Tamandua tetradactyla: one gene and its partners. The protein of the gene in region 2 interacts with the protein of the main gene of each other region in a pairwise test. Links are inferred from orthologs where the notes say so. Each region holds a gene or a part of one and is shown on either strand. Other genes may lie near its edges.

The links.
Region 1: the proteins of TCHP (region 2) and keratin, type I cytoskeletal 16-like interact in binary tests that used the Homo sapiens proteins (3 or more experiments, as listed by UniProt). The link is inferred for Tamandua tetradactyla from reciprocal best matches to the Homo sapiens genes TCHP and KRT16.
Region 3: the proteins of TCHP (region 2) and DYDC1 interact in binary tests that used the Homo sapiens proteins (3 or more experiments, as listed by UniProt). The two-hybrid records come from large-scale screens. The link is inferred for Tamandua tetradactyla from reciprocal best matches to the Homo sapiens genes TCHP and DYDC1.

What each region holds. Positions count from the first base shown.
Region 1 is NC_135332.1:25,571,468-25,578,521, forward strand, and holds the start of keratin, type I cytoskeletal 16-like, read left to right. Parts: upstream 1-4,046; 5' UTR 4,047-4,220; coding exon 4,221-4,787; intron 4,788-5,229; coding exon 5,230-5,312; intron 5,313-5,426; coding exon 5,427-5,583; intron 5,584-5,696; coding exon 5,697-5,858; intron 5,859-5,948; coding exon 5,949-6,074; intron 6,075-6,342; coding exon 6,343-6,563; intron 6,564-6,660; coding exon 6,661-6,710; intron 6,711-6,819; coding exon 6,820-6,923; 3' UTR 6,924-7,054. UniProt on the Homo sapiens protein: Epidermis-specific type I keratin that plays a key role in skin. Acts as a regulator of innate immunity in response to skin barrier breach: required for some inflammatory checkpoint for the skin barrier maintenance.
Region 2 is NC_135331.1:21,553,568-21,561,582, reverse strand, and holds the start of TCHP (trichoplein keratin filament-binding protein), read left to right. Parts: upstream 1-5,015; 5' UTR 5,016-5,188; intron 5,189-6,532; coding exon 6,533-6,720; intron 6,721-7,454; exon of another isoform or gene 7,455-7,503; coding exon 7,504-7,708; intron 7,709-8,015. UniProt on the Homo sapiens protein: Tumor suppressor which has the ability to inhibit cell growth and be pro-apoptotic during cell stress. Inhibits cell growth in bladder and prostate cancer cells by a down-regulation of HSPB1 by inhibiting its phosphorylation.
Region 3 is NC_135339.1:15,513,423-15,521,365, forward strand, and holds the start of DYDC1 (DPY30 domain-containing protein 1), read left to right. Parts: upstream 1-4,935; 5' UTR 4,936-5,106; intron 5,107-7,943. UniProt on the Homo sapiens protein: Functions as part of axonemal radial spoke complexes that play an important part in the motility of sperm and cilia. Plays a crucial role during acrosome biogenesis.

The DNA.
Region 1 (7,054 bases), on a different chromosome or scaffold from region 2:
ACCTGGTGGCATTTCCTGGGGGGAGATGGCTGTGGTGGGGAACACCTGTGCCTGGGCACAGGGTCCACTCGGTGCCTGGGTCGGCCCTGAGTGTAAGGGAAGGAGGAGATGGGGGAGAGACGGCGCCTGCCCCGAGGGCGCCTCGTCTGGTGTGCCCTGTGGGAGTGGGGGGCAGGCCCCGTGGGGGACCGACACTGCCCCCACAGCCCTTCTGCAGGGTGGGCCTCTTGCGCCATCCCAGCTCACAGTGCGGAGGTGTTGGCTGGGTCACGGGCTCCCCCGGGGGCCCTGGTTTGTGCAGTGGGGGGGCCATGACAGCCTCTGCCCTCCGGAGGGGGGCCGCAGACATCTGGGAAGGGAGAGGACTCCTGAAGGAGAGCCGACGCTCCCAGACTCCTCCTGATCCTGGGACCTGTCACAGGCCAGAGCCTGGCTGGGGATGTTTTGCATCCCGAGGGAGCCCACCCCGTTTCCCTGCAGGCCCTCTGAACCCGAGGGCTTCCCTGTGCTGGTCTCCGAATCAGCACACCTAGCACAGAGCCTGGCACATAGCAAGTGCTCTCGAAATGCCTGCTGAGTGGGTGAAGTGGGAGCCACCGGGCTGTGCCAGCACCTTACTCATTTCACCTCAATCCCTCCTACACGCTGGGAAGCAGTGTTATTGCTCGTGTTTCCCAGACGGGGAAACCGAGGCTCCCCGGGCCTGAACTTGCTCAAGCCTGGTCTCTGCTGGCCCTGACAACAGGGAGCTCTGTCCTTGCCCCCTCTGGCCTTTTCCCCTTCTTCATCCTGCCCTGAAGTCTGGGCTCTAGCCTGTCCACCAGGGGAGCTGGAGGCCCCGAGCAGCGCCTGTCTCCTCCCAGCCAGTCGGGGCCTCCTGTTCTCCCTTTCCTCCAGCACCCTGGCCTGCCTCCTGCTTCCCAACCTGCCTGGTCATCAGAATCCCCTGGTGGAGCTTGTAAAACATCCCCATGCCTCAACTCATTCTTGGCGGTGCTGATACAGTGGGCTGGGCCAGGGCCTGGGAATCAGCGTGGGGATTCTGGCGATCAGCCAGGTTTGGGAATCACTGCAAGTTGAGGCACGTGGCTGATATGTTCCTGGCCAACTCAGCTAGATGACTTCATACCTGAGATGGGGTAGGGCGAAGGGAAGAGGCAGGAGTCAGGGTGGGGAGAGGGACAGACCCACTGCCTGGAGGGAGGCAAGCTTGGGGGGACGTTGTGCTCTGGCACCACTAGAATGAATGATTCCCAGCTGTTGGCAATCTTGGGGGCACGAAGGCATTGCTGTCAGGTTGGACATGCTTTCCCTCTCCTCTTCTGACAATTCATATCCTTCCAAGCTCAGCAGGAGATTCCCCTCTGCTAGGAAGCATCCCCTGATGGCTCCAGGCACCTTCTGAAGAGGATCTTGGAGGGACAGGGCTAGCTGTGCCACCCCTCCTTACTGCTGAGGCTTGCAGTGGAGTAGGGTGCACCCCTGAGGCATCCCGTGGTGGGGGTGTGGCAAAGAGGGCCCTGCACCCCAGGGGCCTAGGCTTGGGCCACTCAATTTAGCACCTTCTTTTCCTGCCACATGGGGATGAATTTCTCAGCCTTAATCTGAGGATTTATAGGACTGAGTTCTTCAGAGGTTGGGGACTATGCCATAGTCCCCCCTCTCACCCCAGGGTCGGGTCCCTAGTGGGGCCTGAGCTGTGGGGTTGACTCTGATGAGGGGGTGAGCGACTTCCCCGCAGCTTCTCTGCTTACACAGCTCCCCAGACTTTCAGTCCTGGGCCTGTCGAGGAGCCCCCGACTCCTCTAGAATGGCTGGGGTGGAGTGGAGAGGAGGCAGGGGCATGTGTGGGGCACACAATGGAGAGTAACCTGGGACTCTGCTAGGACAGTCTGTGACCCTTGATTTGGGAACTGGAGGTGGGTTCACGGTTCTGCTCTCTGCTTCTGTGTTGTTTAAACTTGGGCAAGTTTTCAGTTTCTCTGCTTGGGTCTTGGTGACCTTTGGTGACCTGGAAGGAAATTTCTGGTTCTGGGGGTGATGAGTGTGCAAAGGGACCCAAACTCCAAGCCCATCTTGACACCTTGGACGGTGGGATTCTTTGGCCAAGATTCCAGGTTCCCAGTACCTATTTTGAGGTCAGAAGAGGGGAGCATTGGGTTCTTCCTCCTAGGCCAGGCTCCGAAGGCATGAGCTGGAGGGATATCCAGCCCTGCTCAGACCTACAGGACAAGTGTCTGATAGGGCAAGAAGTGGCAGTAACAAGGCCTGGTCATGCTGAGACAGAGAATTTCCTGCCCCAAGATTCGAGGCGGTACTGTCCAGCATCGCCCAGGCCGAGGCAGGCCCTCTCTGGGTTCCTCTAGCCCCCACCGAGGAAGGGTAGAAGATGCCTTTGGGGTCCAGACCTTCTCCAGCACCTGGTGCTCAGCTGGGCTCTCAGGCCAAGGTCATGCCCAGGGTGGACAGAGCTGGGCTGCAGGCACCCTGGGGAGATAGATGAGAACTGGACGTACCTGGTCCCTGCTTCGTGGCAGGGCTGAGTGAGCCAGAGCTTGGGTTCTAGCCCTGGGCCAGCCATTCAAAGCTGAATGACACTGGGCAAATCATTTCTTCTCTCTGGTTCTTCCGCTACCCTCCTCACTTTCCACGGTTAGTTCACAGATCAAGAATATGATGGAGTGGAGCATAATGTTGGGAGGAGCCCGCGTTGGGGGAACAGACAGATGGGGCCCCAATCTCAGCTCTGCTCTTCATGAGGGACTTGGGAAACCCACCTGCCCTCCCCGCATCCCAGCTCCTCTGTGGAATGGGTAGCAGCATCTTTGCCCCACTCACAGAGCTCAGTTGCATGTGTTGAACATTCCTGGGCATACCTGATCGTGGCAGGTGACCAGGGAGTCTTAGTGCCCTTCCCCTGCTCCCTGATAGAACGGATGGAGCCAGCAAGCCCTTCCTGGAGTCTGTGGACATGTCGAGGAAACTGTTTGGGACTGGTCTCTGGATAGGAGGAACTCTGAGGTCCATGGAGGGGTCAGGGGTCATGCTGCACGGGGGTGGAAGGATGGACTCCCCCCAGCATGGCTATGAGTGGGTGCCCATGATGAGTCCACAGAGCAGTGCAGTGCAGTGGGGGAGCCATGTGTTGGGTGGGGTGTCCATCAGGTGGGAGGGGTGTGGAGAGGACAGGGCAGAGCGCTGTGTGGGGGTGAGGAGGCCAGGTAAGTGGCAACTTGGCCGGGCAGGAACTGGGGAAGCTGAGGGGCAAGGACCAGGGCCTTGCTGAGCCCTGGCCACTGGGGCCCTTTCTGCATGCTCCTTTGGGGCTGGTGGCCTGTCCTCCCCTTTTACAGATAAGAAAACTGAGGCCTGGAGGGGCTAAAAGGGCTTGTGAGGGACATCACAGGATTCAAACCACAACCTGTCTGGCTCCAAAACGGGTGCCGTTTACAACATACACACCGTTTCTGGGATCTGGGGGACTCAAAGGTAATCCCCTATTGGACTCTGGGATTGGATCCAATAGGGGAAAGAGAGTCAGGATTTTTAGAACTAGAAATGTGTCCAGACTTGTCACTTTACTGGGTCCAGAGAGGGGAAGTTAGGGGCCTCAGGTCACACAGCACGCGAAGCAGACCTTGGCCAGGAGCCCAGCCTCCTGCCCGCTGCCCAGAGTGGGGCATGTGGGATCCCCACAACCACATCCTGAGATAGGCCCTGGGATGGCATCGCTGACGTGTCTTTCAGCCGAGGCTGTCACTGTGGGGCAAGGAGTCCTTCCAATGAGCTGACTCACAGCCCGGGGACGCGGCCGCCACAAAGTCGCCTGGGCTGGGGCCCTGCGGGGCCCTCGGGCTCCAGGAACCGGGGCCGGGGTTCCCAGCCGCCCAGCCTGAGTCACTAACGACTCCGCGCTTGGGTGTTTTTCTCTCGGCCCCACGCCCCCCTCCCCACCCCGAGCTGGGTGGGAATTCTGAGCCAGCACACCCAAAGTGCAGACCAGGGGCTGAGAGATCCAGAGTGGGGAGTTAGACGGGGCCGGGAGTGATGAAATCTGGTGGAGAACCTGGTGTCAGCAGACGGGAGGGAGGACCGCCTCGCCCAGGTGGCATATAAAGGTTCCTGGTTCCTGGGCAGCCACACACAGTCACTCCCGGCCTCCCTGAGCACCTTCCTCTCCTCTCTGCCGACTCGCTCGCTCGCTCACTCACCTTCACACCATGACCACCTGCAGCCGCCAGTTCACATCCTCCAGCTCCATGAAGGGCTCCTGTGGCATCGGCGGTGGCATCGGGGGTGGCTCCAGCCGCCTCTCCTCTGTGCTGGCTGGGGGATCCTACCGGGCCCCCAGCACCTATGGGGGCCTGTCCGTCTCCTCCCGCTTCTCCTCCGGGGGAGCCTGCGGGATGGGGGGCGGCTATGGCAGCGGCTATGGCGGTGGCTTCAGCAGCAGCAGCAGCAGCTTTGGCAGAGCCCTGGGTAGTGGCTTTGGTGGGGGATATGGAGGTGGCCTGGGCGCCGGCTTCGGCGGTGGCTTTGGAGGGGGTTTTGGAGGTGGCTTCGGTGACTTTGGCGGTGATGATGGCGGCCTCCTCTCCGGCAACGAGAAGACCACCATGCAGAACCTCAACGACCGCCTGGCCTCCTACCTGGACAAGGTGCGCGCCCTGGAGGAGGCCAACGCCGACCTGGAGGTGAAGATCCGCGACTGGTACCAGAGGCAGCGGCCCAGTGAGACCAGGGACTACAGCCCCTACTTCAAGACCATCGAGGAGCTGCGGAACAAGGTGGGTGGGCTGGGGGGCGGCTCGGGTGGGCGGAATGTGAGGCCAGGGCCACAGTGGTCCTTAGATTCTTTCTAGCATCTCTATTTTACGACCAGGGAAACTGAGGCCCAACTTTGGACAGTGGCCGAGGGTCACCCAGAGAATTGGTGGCGGAGAGTCTCCTTTTAGCATCTATGCGCCTGAGCTGGGTCTGGAGCCCTGAGTCTCTTACTCCCTGTGCGGGTTCTTTGCATTGCACCTTTAGCCTCCCTCAGCCTCAGGCTCAGGATGGGGGAGGTGGAATATGAGGGGTGATTCTGGGTGGTGAAGGCATTCTAGGGTGGCCGGGTGAGGGAGGGGCCTGATCTTCCAGCCAGGCTTCTCCCAGCTTGGGAAGGCTCCTTTCGTCCTACCTGAGGTCCTTGGCTGACCTAGGCCTCCCTTCCTTCCACCCCCACCCCAGATCATTACGGCCACCATCGAGAATGCTCAGCCCATTCTGCAGATCGACAATGCCAGGCTGGCGGCCGATGACTTCAGGACCAAGTGAGCAGCCACGGTGGTGGGCTGAGGGCAGGGAGGAGAGGAGTGGGGCTGTCCACCGGGGACGGCCGGAGGCCTCAGGAATGGGGCCTGATGCGCTGCCTTCTGCCCTGCCAGGTACGAGCATGAGCTGGCCCTGCGCCAGGGTGTGGAGGCCGACCTCAACGGCCTGCGCAGGGTGCTGGACGAGCTGACCCTGGCCAGAAGTGACCTGGAGATGCAGATCGAGAGCCTCAAGGAGGAGCTGGCCTACCTGAAGAAGAGCCATGAGGAGGTGGGCCATTGCCAGCCTTGGGGTTGGGAGGCTGGTTTGGTGGAGTCACCAGATCCTCTTAGAACCAGGAGAGGAATCTGCTGAGCTGACCGCCTCTTGCTACCCCTTCCTAGGATATGCTTGCCCTGCGGGGTCAGTCCGGTGGGGACGTCAGTGTGGAGATGGACGCAGCTCCCGGCATGGACCTGAGCTCTATCCTGAACAAGATGCGTGACCAGTACGAGCAGCTGGCAGAGAAGAACCGCAGAGATGCTGAGGCCTGGTTCCTGAGCAAGGTGGGTCTGGCCCCCTCAGCCCTCCTGCAGGACTTCCCAGCCAGCAGAGGCCTCTGCAGCAACTTACACTTTCTGCTTTGCTTTCCGCAGACCGAGGAGCTGAACAGAGAAGTGGCCTCTAACAGTGAACTGGTACAGAGTGGCCGCAGTGAGGTGACCGAGCTCCGGAGGGCGTTCCAGGCCCTGGAGATCGAGCTGCAGTCCCAGCTCAGCATGGTACGGAGGGCCTGGCCCAGCCCCAGATCACCAGTCATGGCCACCACCCTCTCAACACTTCTCCCTTTTTACCTCACTGTCTTGCCCCAGAGTGGACAGGAGAGATCCTCGTTACATTTTCTAGGTGGGAAAACTGAGGTCCAAAGTGGTGGAATAAACGTTGCTCCCTGGTATCTGTCCCATCAGTTATCCAGCTGGGGTCAAAATCCATGCACCTCTCAGGAGGGAGGGGAGTGACCACATTTCTCTCTTTCTCTCCATCTTGCAGAGAGCATCCTTGGAAAGTAGCCTGGAGGAGACCAAAGGCCGCTACTGCATGCAGCTGGCCCAGATCCAGGATATGATCGGCAGCGTGGAGGAGCAGCTGGCACAGCTGCGCTGCGAGATGGAGCAGCAGAGCCAGGAGTACAAGATACTGCTGGACGTGAAGACCCGTCTGGAGCAGGAGATCGCTACCTACCGCCGCCTGCTGGAGGGCGAGGACGCCCAGTGAGTGCCCTGCCCCTAGTCCTGCCCCATGGACCCTGCAGGGCCCCCTGCTCCCAGCACATATAACTAACTGCTCTGCCTTTCCTTCCTCCTGCAGCATCTCCTCCTCCCAGTCCTCTTCTGGCCAGTCGTACTCTTCCCGTGATGGTAAGGCTCCGAGGCTCCCGGGCACTTGAGCGCCTCTGCCTGTTTATGTGGGCTTAACAGTTGGCTTAGCAGCCAGTGCCCATCTCAACCCCTCTCCTCTCTTCCACAGTCGTCTTCTCCTCCTCGTCTTCCTCCTCTGGTCACCAGACCCGGCCCATCCTCAAGGAACAGAGCTCGTCCAGCTTCAGCCAGAGCCAGCACTCCAAGAACTGAGCATCCTCGGCCACAGCCTGCTGCCCACTCGCTGGCCTCACCTCTCCAGGGCCTGGTCAGGACCCTGTTCTCCCAGCGTGATTCCCAGCTGTCTCCCCCTCCCCTCTGCTGGTGGTGGGTTAATAAAGCTG
Region 2 (8,015 bases):
TACCTCCTAGAGAAGCTGGAGGCCAAAGGGAGGTCTCACAGGCACAGATCAATACATGCTAAGCAATTACTGGCCGACTCTCTTCTTTGCAGCTTTGGTAAGTGGTTCAAGAATTACACTCTGAACACATGGTGCTTGGGGAAAGTCTATTCATGGGGAGGCTTGCTGGTGACTGAAAAACCTTCAGCAATAAGATCCTTTAGTTTGTCTCCTAAAAAGAGACCCCAAGCCAGGGGGGAATGGAGGTGTCCATCACCACCAGGGACCAGATTCTTCCCCCTTCCTGATCTGCTAAGGCCACGCAGCTCCTCCCAGTGTGGCTGCAGAGGTGCCGCGGGCTCCTGCAGATGCGACAACGCCCGGCAACTCCCTGCCCCTAGAAGTCATCTTCTTAGGGGAAAATGAGGCAGAAGTCCACCGTCTGCCCAGTCACCAACAAGGAGCGTGGGTCCAACCACAATTGGCTTAGACTAATCCGGATTCACCCCCAAACCATGTAGAGAGGGGTAGATACCCCATCCCAATGGTTGTTCAGCTTGAGCAAGGACATTGGGGGAACAGCTATTTGGTCACTGATGAGGGATGAGTGAATAAGTTAACATTTCCCAGCTCTTTCCTCTAGCACAGAAGGAAATAAACCCAGCCCTACTGAAGCAGGTGCCTACGTAGGAAATGATCAGTATGAAGGCAATTATAATACCAGTGAGTGTCATCCCTCAAGTTCTAATAAGGGGCCGAGCACTGCGTTAAGGCAGCTGTTAATAATAGTCACAAACCAGTACGAGTATCCCCATTTTTAACAGTTGAGAAAACTGAAGCTCAGAGATACGAAATAATTGTAGCTGGTCAGAGGCTTCATCCTTCACACCATGCTCTCCTTGAAAGATAATATAAATAGTGCTTTAGTTTGCTTTGGCTGCTCCAGCAAATACCATGCAATGGGGCGGCTTCAACAAAGGGGATTGAACGGCTCATGGTTTTGAGGTTAAGAGAAAGTCCAAACCAAGACATCATCAAGGCGATGCTTTCCTCCTGAAGACGGTGGCAACCTGGGTCTGGCTGCTGGTGATCCTTGGACCTGGGCTTCTCTGTCACTTGGCACATGGCGGCCTCTCCTGACCACTCCCTCCTCTTCTGGGTTCTGTGGACCTTCGGCTTCTTGCTTCCCACAGCTCTCTGTCTTTCTGAGTTTCGTTCTGCTCATACAGGATCCTGGTAATAGCACTCTCCTGGTGCGCGCCTTCCATGCGGGAACCCGAGTTCGATTCCCAGATCATGAACCCACCCCCTCCCACCAAAAACAGAAGACCCAGCCTGACTGAGTGGGGCCACACCCGAACTGAAGTAACCTCATCCAAAGGTCCTACTGACAATGGACTCACACCCACAGCGATGGATTAAACTTAAGAACATGCTTTTCTGGGGTCTATGGATACAAACCACCACAAATACCAAAAAGAAAAAGAAAAAGAAAGGTCAGTGCTGTTCCATCAGAGAAATATATTCCACCAGATGGAAGCAGACTGAGCTACTTGAGGGTTCTGAATAGAAGGTTCTGGAGCAGAAATCCATTTTCCAGCCTCCTCTGCACACAGGAGAAAAAGGCCTGTTAGAACAAGCTCTGATGAGCTCTCCCGATTTACAGAATGGAATCTGATGGGAGGTTGCATACCTGCAGGGCACCAGGGGCAGGCAAATTTCCTCAGGGGGACGCCCTCCACTGTGCTGCTTCTTATTAAAACACCAATACGGGCTGGTGTGATGGAGGCTCAGTGGCAGAGCTCTCGCCTGCCATGCTGGAGACCCGGGTGCCTGCCCATACAAAAAAACCAACCAAACAAACAAACAAAACTAATATGTGCTCATTTCAGAAAACACGTAAGTCAAAAGAAGAATCACAAATTAACCCGTAATTCAATACCTGCCAATGTAATAAGGCAAGAAAAATAAGTAAAAGCCATCCTCATTGGAAAGGAAGAAATAAAAGTGCCTCTTTTTCAGGCCACATAATTATTTATATGGAAAATACCAACGAATTGGAAGCAAAACTTCTAGAACTAATGAGTGTGTTTAGCAAGGTCTCAGAATAGAAGCTCTCTATAAAAAAATCAATTGTCTTTCTATATAATTGCAATGAACACTTGGAGTTTCTCCCTAAGCACTGGAAGTATTAGGCTGGGGAGGGGGTTGAGGTTTTGTTTTTTTTGGGGGGGGTAGTGCATGGTTCAGAATCAAACCTGGGTCTCCTGCATGGTAGGTTAGCATTCTACCACTGAGGGGGTGAGTTTTTTTTTTCTTTAGGTGACATAATCCTTTCTTACCACTTCCTTTATTGTCATGAAAATTTTGAAAAAAACCTTTCAATTAAAAAAATCAGCATCGTCCCATATTCAGAGATTTCTACCTAAGACACCCCTAAAACATGTCCTTGAAATCATCAAGATTTCTTTTGTAAATATTTTAATAACATCTCACAATTTCATGTATGACATATTATCATATCTTTACAACAGAATGAGGCAGATTACTAGGGCATTTTACAGGAGAAAAAAAAAACAGTAATTTTTACTTTATTTTAGAAGCTATTACTTCCTTCAATGTGAATCTGTCCTGGCACATAGTGGGTGATCAGTAAATATTTGTTGGATGAATGCCATTTAAGATATGATTGGATTTATGAGTTTGCAATTTTGCGCAGTTTTTCAAAATATTTGATTCTCTTTTGGCTCCCTCCAGTGCAGTCTTTTTGAGTAAAAGGATGGAAATCTATTTGCAGTGATTTATACAAGTAGATGTTTATTTGGAAAAAGTGAGTTAGAATTGGCCCCTTGAGCTGTTATCCACCCCTAAAATTATATAAATTATATATGTGATATATAAAATTATGTGATATCTTAACAAATTAATTGACTACATATTTCACTTTAAGCATAAAAAAATAATATTACAATGAAAAACTTATTTTAGGAGTTTTTTTTGGGAAAAAAGCCTTTAAGTCATTAAATTAAAACTTTAAACCAGGACAATAATAACATCATGGCTTTAGAATAAAATCTGGCATGTGAAATCTCTGTAGCAGGATCAGCCACACTCTTTAGTATTTGCTGAATGATACAAGCAATTATGAAAGGGAAAATAAAGCCATTAGTAATTGTATTGCTGCTGAGATTAATAATACTACCTTTTACAATAGCTAAAATATTACAACAAAAATACACATGAGAGCGCTCTAATCAGTCAAACGGAGAGGCATAAACATTTCTTACTAGGAATCAGACTTTCAAAATTTAAGTAAAAAACAGTACTATGGTTTTATAGATAGAAAAATTAAGGCCCAAAGAAACTGTGATTTATATGCTCCATTTGTAGATTAAGTAAATTGGGTATCAACATTTTTAAAAAGTTTGTACAGCAGTGAGGGGGGTGAGTTTTGACAGAGGCATGAGACCAGACCCTGGAATCAGACTGACCTGGGTTCAAATCCTGACTTAGCAGTCTATACGGCCAAGTGAGAACCCCCACTGGGAACAGAGGCTGAAAGCAATGGAGCCCAGGAGCAGGGACAACAGATGCCAGCCACATGACTTCCCAGCTAACAGAGGGGTTCCGGAAGGTAACACCCTATCTTTAGTGAATGTAACCTCTTATTGGTGGCTTTGTACATTTTCTCAGTCTTAGAACTGTAAACTTGTAACTTATTAAATTCCCTTTTTCTTTTTTCTTTTTGCATGGGCACGCACCAGAAATTGAACCTGGGTCTCTGGCATAGCAAGCGAGAATTCTGCCACTGAGCCACCATCGCACCACCCTAAATTCCCTTTTTAAAAGCCATTCAGGGCAGGCCATGGTGGCTCAGTGGCAGAGTTCTCACCTGCCATGCTGGAGACCCAGGTTTGATTCCTGGTGCCTGCCCATGCAGAAGGGAAAGAAAAAGAAAAAGCTGTTCAATTTCTGGTATGTTGCATTCAGGCAGTTTAACAAACTAATACAGGCCCCACTGTGTTGTGACTGAGCTGATCACAGCAGGTGGTTGCCTCTGTCCACTGGTGACATAATATGGTAGAGTGATCCTGAACTTGGCCAAGTGGGTACAGACCAATGCAGAGGCCAACCTTGGGGGAATCTTGTGCATGGGGCAGGGTACACAGCAAGTAAATGTCTGTGGGGTAGAGGAAATGTGAAAGAAATCCCCCCCAAGCCCCCCTGCCATGCCCCAAGCACTCTGTTCTGTTCATACCTTTACTGACTCCCCCAAGGACAACGCTAGAAGGTAGAACTCTCAACGATGAGGAAGATGAGGCACAGAGAGAGGAAGCAACCTGCCTGGACCCCCCAGCCAGCATGGTGTGCGTTGGCATTCTGACTGCAGAGACCATGCTCTTAAAACAGCGTCCAGGAAAGACAGAAATGAATAGAGGAATGGAAGAATGAAAGAAGGAAGTGAGGAAAAGAATGGAAAAATGAAAGAAAAGATGGAACAAATGCAAGAGTGGATATTTACTTTATTATCTTTTTAATGGAATGTTCGATGCATAAAAACTTGTAACTCATGTAATGAATGAACACTGAGAACCAACCACCAGTCTAAGACTACAATAGAAAATTATCAATAATTTGCATCTACTTAACGTTAGTGGTTCTCACCTTGGATGCATATTGAAGGCAACTGGGGAGCTTTGAAAAACAGGCTATCCAGGCCCCACCCTCAGAGAGTCAGATGTAATTTGTCTGGGGACTGGGATTTGAAGCGCTGCACAGCTGATTCTCATGTACTGCCCGGTTGGAGGAGCACTGGCTTATATTATCCTCCCCTATCCTAGCCCCCTGATTTCCTGCCACCCCAGGTAACCACTATCCTGAATTTTGTATGCTGAGTGGATTATTTTCCTCGCCCTTCCCTACTTCAAGAACCGACGAAGTTTGCTATTGATCTCCCTCCTACCACGAGGGGGCGCTAGAAAAAAGTACAGTCTCCTTTTTCTCCTTAGAGCGTTCAGTATTGCGCTGGAGGAAACTTGGTCCTCGCGGCGCGCCGTCTCCCGGCCCGTTGCCGGGACAACCAGCGGGGAAACGGTCGGCTTCAGTGCTAAGAGTTTCCGCCCGGCCTCTGGCATCTGCTCAGCCTGATCTGGCCTTGCGGGATCTAGCGGGCCTGGGGCTCCTCGGAAACTCCCAGGCGCGGAGAAACGTGAGTCTGGAGGCTGAGTTCTTTCGGGAGCCGGCGTTGGGGCTGGTACTCAGAGGCTCTGGCCGCGGTCGGCCGGGCGCTGGCGGAAAAGGGAGCGAGGACCCAGGGATACCGCCGCAGGGAGCCTGGAAACCTGGGCTCCGGTCCTCACTGTGGTACTAACGAGACATGGGGTCGAGGCCTCCCGGCCGTTTGCTCGATGTGGATGTTGAGGCTCAGAGAGGGAAACGGCTTTCTCGGGGAGCTGGATCTTAAATTTAGTGCAAAGATTTATCCACTGGCTTTTTTAAAAGGCAAGGGGAAAAAAGCATGTCAGGCCAGCCAAAGTCTCAAAACAGAGGTCGCAGGCCTGTAGGCCGAATTGGACGCATAGATGTAGATTATTTGTCTGCAGCTTCTGAAGGACTTTGAGTTTGAGACTCTTGGCGCGGTGCCAGACCCATGTGCTTATTCAAGAGACCTTCCTCAAGCACTACCATAGCCAGGGACTGTGTAGATTTTGTACCTGAGGACAGCTGTGGGCTGGGGGAAGGTTGTCCTGGCTACAGTGAGACTGCTTGCTTTTTTAGTCTAGCTGTGTCCCCAGATTGCCCCGCAACCCCTGACAAGTCACTTCCTCTCTCTCAGAGGAAGTTTCTTCAACTGTAAGATAAGGGATCTGCCCTCCGTGGGGGCCCAGAAGACTTCTAGGTGTGACTCCTTGCCTGGCCTCTCGCCTGCGGCTGCTAGAACCAGGGCATATTTGTCCCAACAGGGAGCCTTTTGCAGTAGACAGACCCGGGGCTCTGGACTCAGACCTATCTGAATTAGAATCCCAGGTCTTTTATTTCCTCTCCTTTCTGGCTGTGTGAGCCTTGGCAAGGTGCTTCACCTCTTTGAACTTGTTTCCTCATCTGCCAAATAATGGGGTGGTGGTAAGAATGAGAAGGGTTATACATGTGACAGATGCTGGGTACATACAAATGTTCCTTAAATTACTGTCCCTGTTAGTTTATGAAGAGTACAGAAGTCCCCAATATGCCAAATCTAGCATTGCTGGGACTGGTCCCCTGTCTCTGTCCTCAGTGCCTCTGATAACACCTGGCCCACATCTGGGTACATCCTGGTTTTATTAAATCAGTGATTTGCAGCCCGGGTGGCAGATCATTTTTAAAATGCCAATGCCTAGGCCCCATTCTAAGATTTTCTGAGAAGGTGAGGCCTAGGTATGGGTATTTTTAAAGACTCCACGGAGTAATTCCAATATACAGACAGGGGTGAAGACCACTGAGTAAAAGGATGCCAGCCTTGTACAGGTTCCTGGGGTTTGCAGTTGGAGCATATTCTTACCGTTGCTGTTCTCAGATGGCACTGCCCACGCTGCCCTCCTACTGGTGCAGCCGGAGGCTTCTGGATCAGCAGTTAGCACGCCAGCGAGAGCAGGAGGCCCGGCTTCGGCAGCAGTGGGATCAGAATAGTCGCTACTTCAGGATGTCTGACATCTGCAGCTCTAAACAGGCAGAATGGAGCTCTAAGTCCTCTTACCAGCGGAGGTAATTGCGCGGTGACTGCCAGCTGGGTGGAAGTGGGGGGCCACTCTGGCTGGTCATAGGACGTGGTGGAAGGACATGTGGCTTGACTACATATTTTCTTGAGGGGTTTGCTGAACAGCATAGATTACCTGCATAGTGGTGATTTTTTTTTTCCAACTGGAAATTAAAGAAAAAATCATATGTAAAGTTACACATTAAAAAAAAGATAAAACAATATAGAAGTATATGAAGTGGCGCCTAGAAGTCTCTTTGTAATACCGCCTCCCCAGAGAGAACAGTTGGGTACATATCCTCCCATACTTTTTCCCATTTGTGTTTGTGTATAAATAGACCCCCCACACACACACATCCATCCATTGTTATAGAAATACATGTTAGTCCAAAGCATAGGCTTTGGATTCAGACAGATCTGTATAGAAATCCTGACTGTGTCACTTACTATATGAATAAGGCTCAGTTTCCCAAGCAGTAAAGTAGGCTAAAATGGAACCTTCTTTAGGATTTATGCTATGATTAATATAAAACTATCCATATAAAGATACATGTATAGCTTAGTCCTTGGCTTGTGGTAATTGCTCAAAAAATATTACCTATACGTTATCACATGCATAACAGTATTTGTTTATGGATACAAAATTCTGTTTTGCATCCTGTCCTATAATCTGCTCTCTCCACTTTGGTTGGGTGGCACCTATCTGTGTCACCACGGTATGTCCACCTTTGGTCTTTCGCAGAGCCTCTGCTGTAGTCTGAGTGGTTTATTGTGGGATCCTTCTCACCCAGCATGCATGCTTATCAGCGGGAGAAGTTGAAGGAGGAGAAAAGGAGGAGTCTGGAGGCCAGACGTGAGAGGCTCAGGCAGCTTCTGCTTGAGGAGCAGAACCTGCTGGCCAAAGAACTGGAGGACCTGAGCACAGACCTACGGGAAAGAAGAATCCGGGAGCGGCATGGGAATCTGAAATCAGCCCGAGAAGAGCAAAGGAAACTGGTAACGTCCCATAGACCTTCAGAAGGTTCAAGAGCAGGAGCATCCCCGGCCTGTCAGTGTTGTATACGTGGGATCACCCCTGGGCACTCTGATCTGATGGTGGTCGATGCCAGAGACAGCTGGGAAAAGTGCTAACTCTAAGTCTTTGTTCAGGTAGTGTGTTTTGCACACACAAGTCATTACATCCGAGTCCTTTTACTTTATTCCAGTTCTGTGGTTCCACAAAGGTCTGAGCATGGTATATTTTATCTTCCAAAGTAGTCGTTTGGAACAGTGAGCTCCAACGTGTGTTTTTAAGCCTGCTATA
Region 3 (7,943 bases), on a different chromosome or scaffold from region 2:
ACACCAAAGCTAGTGAATTGTACACACTGCACCAAAGATTTTAATGCACAGGATATAGTGAGTATTTTAAAAGGTATTAGAAATCAGGTCTAACATTGCCACTAAGTCAGTTCTGTATTCAGGTATTATTGTTCCTTGTGCAGGATGCATAAAATGACAGAAATCATTGTTCAGGAGATTGTAGCAAAAATTGTGGGAGATAAAAGATATGCTTGTCTGACTGATGTATCCACAGTTGTTCCAATTATTACAAGTTTTTATGTCCACTATTATAGCAAAATAGAGGAGGTGTCTGTGGCTGATGCATAAGTAAATTGCAAATAATAAAATATTATAATATACCTGAGGTATATACTAACAACAGCCATTATTTTGTTTTTGAAAAATACTGAGTAATTTTTGAAAAGGGCTCAAAGGAACTTGTATGAAAATACATTTGTTCCAGGTGAAGTATTAGATTTTTTAAAAATCTGAGTTTTTAAACTAGTAACACCAAAGGCATTTCCTAATATTCAAGATGAATTGCCTTTTAAAATTTCTTTTTCCATAGATGGGGATTGTCACTAAGATTGATGAATATTTAAAAATTTGAATATGGAGGAAAAGGTAGGCTACTAGGAGCCTCAATGTGCTCTGTGTTGTGGCTGGGTGATTTGTGGATTTCCTGGTGCTCATCTGTTGTGGTCTATGTATACTCCATGCTGAGTTCCTCCTTCCTACCTTAACACTTACCGATGATTTAATAATACAGACTTCTGGCTTATTAACCAGTCAAGAAATATCCTTGCAGTAGTGGTAAGGCCAGTGCTTGCCTGACCAGACAACTGGCACCATCACCTGGCCAGGTTGACACCTAAACTTAACTATTACAGGCCCCAAACAATCTTTGCATGTTGAATAAACCAAGAAACTCTCCAGGCCAGCTCCAGAATTACTTTGGAGAAAGCTAGAAAGCCCCTCCCAATGAAGACCCAGTATATATACACACCTCTTCTTTTGCCTTGGAGGTTTTCCTATAATGATAAAGCCAGTGAGCCAGGTACTCTATTGGGTCGCTGGGCCGAACCTTAGCCACCTCAGCCAGTGCCTGGGCTAGGCAATTTCCAAAGCACCTCTTTAGGTAGTCAGTTTCCATCCTGGGGGTCTGGGAAACATGAAGGCAGAGTCATATTATTTTAGACATCCAATCTGATTTTTTTAAATGTACATATTCTAACCAATTCAGATTCATTTCAGGATAAATATGAGATATTTCTGAATTCATTCTCTCTCTCTCAAAAAAAAAAAAACCCAAATACATTATTGCCAACTGTTCTTACATCCTCCAGTTGTCCTAAGCCAGAAATAGGTCCTGGGGGTCATCAGGTGGTTAGATTGGTGCTTAAGTATTCAGCAAGCCTCCACTTACTCCCACACGTCTACCCTTGGCAAGGAGGACATAACTGACCATGCAGGAAATCCCCTGGGAGGGGCTCTGAGCACCCAGCGAGTTATGGTATTGTGAGGTTGGCGCTCATGGTTATTTACGAAATAGATAAAACAAATTTATTTATTTTACAGGAAACCCATAAGAAGCCTTGGGGAGGAAAAGGAGGGAAAATGAACAAGCACCACCGCCACTGGGGGACAGGCATCCTGCTTGTATACAACACAATATTCCACTTCCTATTGCTTAGATTGGGTTGATGACCCTGGATTTATTATTAATCAGAGTCCTAGAGCTGGAGGCAGTATAGCCCAAATTGTATCATCTCTTAGGATCACCAGTAGCAGAATGGCATGGTAACGTTAGGGTAGCAGTATGAATGCAGGCTGCAGATTCAAACAGACCAAATTCCAGTTCCGGTTCTGCCACTTACCAGCTGTGTGATCTCTCTAGCAAGTCACTCAGCCTCTCTGAGCCTCAGTTTTCTTATCTATAACAGAAATAACATAAATATGTACCCCATAATTGTGAGGATTAGAAGAGATAATAAATGAAAGGCACTTAGCACAGCGCTTGGCATGTAGCATTTAATAAATATTACCTATTACAGTGGGAGATTGTGACAAGAACTGGCCTAGCTCCTAATCTGTTCCTAACTCAAATTCCTGAAATGTACATATTTTAACTCCAAAAAAGCACAGTAAATATTACAGGCTTAGATCCAGTCCTAATGTTTTTTGGAGGTGTTTTTTTGTCTTGTATAAAACTGTCAATGCTGGTTTTGTTGTTCATTTTTCAGATTAAAGATGGAAAGATATGGATGTAGTAAAGAAATATACTTCCTAACTTTCTCCACTGCAAGGGCCTAGTAGCAAAAAACTAGCACCAATAAGCACTCCTAGTACCCAGCTTTTGTATTTAAATCATCTTCTTACTTAAAAGGAATTTGGGCTCTTTGGAGAAATAGCTGATTTCCAAGGCTTGGGCAAGAAGGATCCAATGAGTCTGAAATATTTTGCTGTGCCAAATAGTAAGAACATGCTAAAAATAAAATGGTTGGAAACACAGAAGCCAGCAGGAAGCAGTTCTAACCAGTCAAATCTAGGTGAATTTGACCATTAAAATAAATAATAATGGCAATGGATTATAACTCACTGAACAAAATAAGAATCCATTTGAGAATAAGTAGTGAATGAATGAATGGGGAAGAAGGGAAAGGTCTTCCTTAAAGCAGAACACCAATTAATAAATGTGGAAAGAATAATGGAGTTAAAATCACTATTTCATAACCATCACAGTGTACATGAATCAAATCAGAATTTCAGTGGGTGCCAAAACTCGGCGAATATTCGATAAGAAATAAGCTATTTCAATAGTGTTAAAGCTCCTCTTTTCAGATGAAGAAATAATTCCAAATGGAAATGTAGAAAGTTTATAGTGGTGAAACCTGATCGACACAACCTTAACCCAGGGATCGAAGTATTGAATTATATATCACCAAAAAGGGACAAACTGGCATCACAGCCCTCCTGAAGTGATGTCCTGAAAGGTACATAATACATTTTGGTGGATTCCTGCCCATAAATGGAAGAATTTAATGGAGGAAACACCAAACAAAACCAAATTGAGAAACAGTCTATAACTGAGCTGCACTCTTAAAAATATGAAGACAAAAAAAAGATGAAGAGCCATTGCAGCTTAAAGGAGACTAAACAGGAATAACAACACATGATCATGAATTGGATGTGGACCAAAAAAATGAATTCTACAAAGGACATTTTTAAAAAAAATTGGATACATGTGAATATGAATTTTAGATTAGATAACAGAATTGCGTCTAGGTTAAATTTCCCACTTTTGTTCACTGAAATAAGAATAAAGAAGAGAATGTCTTTTTTCTTAAGAAAAATACAGTGTGGTAGACTGAATAATAGCCCACCAACAATGTGCACACACTAATACCTGAAACTTGTGAATATGTTACTTTATAAGGCAAAAGGACTTTGCAGTTATGATTATGTTAGGGACCTTGAGATGGGAAGCTAACCCTGGATCACCCAGGTGGGCTCAATGTAATTTCAAGGATCTGGTAAGAGGAATGAAATAGAAATTCCTTCCTTCCTTCAGACAGAAGGAAGAAGGAAATGTAAATATGGAGGCAGAGGGGAAAAAACGCTATGCAATATCTGGCTATGAGCCAAGGAATTTGGGGGAGGAGGGGGCAGGAAAGAAATGCCAGAAGCTGGCAAAGGAAATGGATTCTCCCACAGAGCCCCCATTAAAAACCAAGCCCTGTCCACCCCCTCGTTTTTACCCTGTAAGATTCACCTGGGCCTTCAGACCTCCAGCTCTGGAAGAGAATACATGTGTGTGCTTTAAGCCACTAAGTTTTGGTAATGTGGAAGGTGGAGACAGGGCAGGTTGGTGTCCCCCTCTGCCAGTCTGTGGCCCACCTGGACCAAGGCGCCTGGATGAACAATCTCCTACACCTCGTTTACTCCAAGTGTCATCTGAGAACCAGCAGAACTGCATCACTCACTGAAATACAGATGTTCAAGTTTCACCCAGACCTACAGATTCAGAATCCATACTTTAATAAGATCCCCAGGTGATTTGTAGGCACAATCTTCCCAGAGGGCAGAATCACTAGTTCTGCATTTCTAAGAAGCCTCTCCACTCCCCAGTCATTGGTCAGCGGCCTCCCTGCCTAGGTGAGGCAAACCCTATAAGGAAAAAGCACCTGCTCAACATTGCACATTTTCAACATGATCCCAATAACCTTCCGGTTACTAAGACTGTTGCAAAAACAGTAGAGCCAGAAGAATGACAGCCACCGGGTGAGGCCTGGAAAGGGAGGCGCCAAAAAAATGTGCTCCCCTAGAGTCTGCTCACACGGTCCTCTTTGTACCTTCTGGCAAGGGGCAGGACCAGGAGGGCCGGGATTTGCCTCTGCCTGAGCCGCTTGTGAAAGGAGCCAAACGGAGGTGGCCGGGAAGTGCAAAGGTACTGAGACCTAAGGCCATTGAGCCATCGAGTTTGCAATGACCTCTGGCCCAGGGGACCTCGGGACCTCCTTGCACTTCACTGACCCTCCGGCGAATCCGCCGCTCGTTCTTCTCTGGCAGTGAAGGTCCGCTCGCTACCTGGGCACTTGTCTTGGCCGCCTCTTCCTCCCTACCTCTAAGCCTCTGGCCATCGCGGCTTGCATCCGCGCCTCTCGGCCACGCGCTCTCCACCCTCTCCAGTGCTTCCCCGCGGCCCTCCCACCCTCGCGCTCTCCTCCCCTCACGCCCGTGTTTTGCTCACCCAGCTGCCAGGTCCCTCCTCTTTTGCCGGGCACCTCGGCTGACACCTGAGTCGAGGGCGCGCTGCTCACCCTGCGTCGCGCGCACTCCTCCTTGCCGCGCGCCCCCTAGCCCTCGCGCGCGCTCTCGGCTCACCCTCTCGCGCCCCTTCCTCTCTGCCCCCGGCCTCCTCCGGCACCTAAGGCGCGTGCGTGAATTCGTTCCTTAGCGACGGGACGCGACTCGAGATTGCGCTTGGGCGTCGGTCTGCACCGGGCGCGAGCACGGAGAACGCAGGCGCAGTTTTGGAGTGTCGCACATGTTGCTTCCCAGGGTTCGAGTGAGACAGGCGGCGCTGGCAGTTGGGTTTTACGAGTGGCGTAGAGCTCGTCAGTGGTGAGCCGCGTCGCACCTGGCCCCTTTTGCGACCCGGGGGTTGTTGGAAACCGAGCCAAAGCGCCCCGGGGCGAGGATTGACAGATATTTACTAAATCTGGCGTTGCTACCCGCATCTCCCTTCCCACTTGGCTAAACCCCGAGCGTGATCCGGGGGTCATCTTCTGTCTCTTGTGGCAGCGTCGCTGGACTTGAGACAGCTGTTTCTGTGGGAAGGGACTTTCTTCAGTTGAGTCAAGATGTGGCATTTGGTGTATTTGAAAAATAACATGCCTTACAACAACCTTGGTTGATGGATACTGTGGCCATTTTGCGCACGGGAAACGTTTGCCAAGCGAGTTGAGCCTGCCCAGGTCTCACTGCTGGTGGGACTTGGGCCCACACTTAGACCAAAGGCTCCTCCCTTATTTTATTTTATTTTGTTTTTTCTTGCATGGGCAGGCACGGGGAAAACGAACCTAGGTCTCCCGCATGGCAAGTGAGAATTCTGCCACTGAGCCACTGTCGCACGCCTCCTCCCTTAGGTTTTAAGACTAAGTATATGGACACAAACACGTTCCTTTCTCATTCCTGTTTCCTATACAAAAGATGACATACTGTAAACACTTTTGCATGTCACAATAGTCCCGTTGTCTAAAATAGTCCTATCTTAGAGAGTTTCCTAATGTTTTACATCTGTATAATATAATTCCTTGTGTTGCTACCAATCCCCTACTGGTAAACATTTGATAGTTTCCGGTCTTTGTTTTAAATAATGGTGCAAGTTAACTTTGTGCATCTGTCATTTCACATTTTTGTGAATGTATCTTTGCGATAGGATCCCAGAGGTGAGATTGCTGGGTCAAAGGGTAAACACTTATGTAATTGCTCTGACTATTGCCAGTATTCCCCCTCTATGCTGTTTTGCTCTCCCACCAACATTATATGAGAGAATGGAAATACTGGGGTCTGTGGATGGACCTCCAGATGAATTTTTTGTAAAATGTTAGATGCATTTGTCTAGGGACAGGGCCTAGACACATTGACCTTCTTCCCCTACAGCTGTCGTGGTTGGTCACCGTCCAGGCGCTTTCTCATACCTGGAAGGCTCTTCCTTTCCTTCTCTGCCTCTTTTTTTCAAAAAATATTTTTATTTATAAAACAACATACAAACATGCAAACATTCTTAACGTAGAAACATTCCATACATGGTGAACAATCAGTGGCTCACAATATCATCACATAGTTATGTATTCATCACCATGATCATTTTTTTGAACATTTGTATCACTCCAGAAAAAGAAATAAAAAAGGAAAAACTCATACATACCATACTCCTCACCCCTCCCTCTCATTGACCTCTAGTATTTCCATCTACCCAATTGATTTTAACCTTTGTTTCTCCTATTATTTGTTTCTTTTTTATCCATATTTTTTTTTCTTTTTTTTTTTTTTTTTTTAAAGGAAAGACAGAGAGAAGGAAGGAAGGATAGAAGGAAGGAAGAGAGGAAGAAAGGGAAACCTCTTTTAAACATTTTCTTGTTTTATTGTATTTTGTTTCTCCGTTTTCGTTACATGGGCTGGGGCCGGGAATCGAACCGAGGTCCTCCGGCATAGCAGGCAAGCACTTTGCCCGCTGAGCCACCGCGGCCCGCCCTATCCATATTTTTTACTCATCTGTCCATACCCTTGATAAAAGGAGCATCAGACACAAAGTTTTCACAATCACACAGTCACATTGTAAATATTATATCATTATTCAATCATCTTTAAGAAACAAGGCTACTGGAACAGTTCTACAGCTTCAGGTACTACCCTCCAGCCACTCCAATATACCATAAACTAAAAAGGGGATAGCTATATAATGTGTAAGAATAACCTCTAGACTCTGTTTGAAATCTCTCAGCCACTGACATTTTATTTTGTCTCACTTTTCTCTTCTCCCTTTCGGTCAAGAAGTTTTTTCTCATTCCAGTATTTCTGTCCCATGTTGCCAGGGAGATTTACACCCCTGGAAGTCATTTCCCACGTAGAGGGGTAGGGCAATTAGTTCATTGCCATGTTGGCTTAGAGAGAGAGAGAGAGGCCACATCTGAGCAATAAAAGAGGTTCTCTGGGAGTGACTCTTAGGCCTAATGTTAGGTAGTATTAGCTTATCCTTTGCAGGAATAGTTTCATAGGGGTGACCCCCAGGATCGAAGGCTTGGCCTATTGATTTGGTTGTCCCCACTGCTAGCTAGAATATCAGAGAATCTCCAAATGGGGAGGTTGAATTTTTGTCCCCTTTCTCTCCATTCCCCCAAGGGGACTTTGCAAGTACTTCTTTGTTCACTGTCCAAATCTCTCTGTGGTTTATCAGGGCATCACACTAACCTAGAGAAATCAACAAGATTGCATGCCCTTTTCAAGATTCCATGTACTTATGATGTTAACTAAACTGACCAAACAATTTAAATTAGGAATTGCACAACCCAAAATATAAATTTTGCACCAAATAAATATCTCTCCCTTGAGTCTCACACAAAAGTTGAAGTTTTAAAACATGGATGATATCGTCCTTTACCCAGTCTTCTGTTATACCTTAGTCCTATTCCAAATAAGCTTCATTCATATCTCTACTTGATGTCTAATCACTTTTCCAACTTTTTAAACAGTTCCTGTATGGGGTACTACTGACTTTCATAGCTCCAGAGCTCTAACTCTGAGTCTCAGGTGTCACATAAATACCCAAAGTTTCTGGGAAAGACCATGTTATATACAAACAGCTCAGTATCTCAGAATTTAGAATTATGCCTTGTTGATTTTTAAATATTTCTTCATATCTTAGCTCAAATGTGACACCTTGGGAAAGTTTTCCT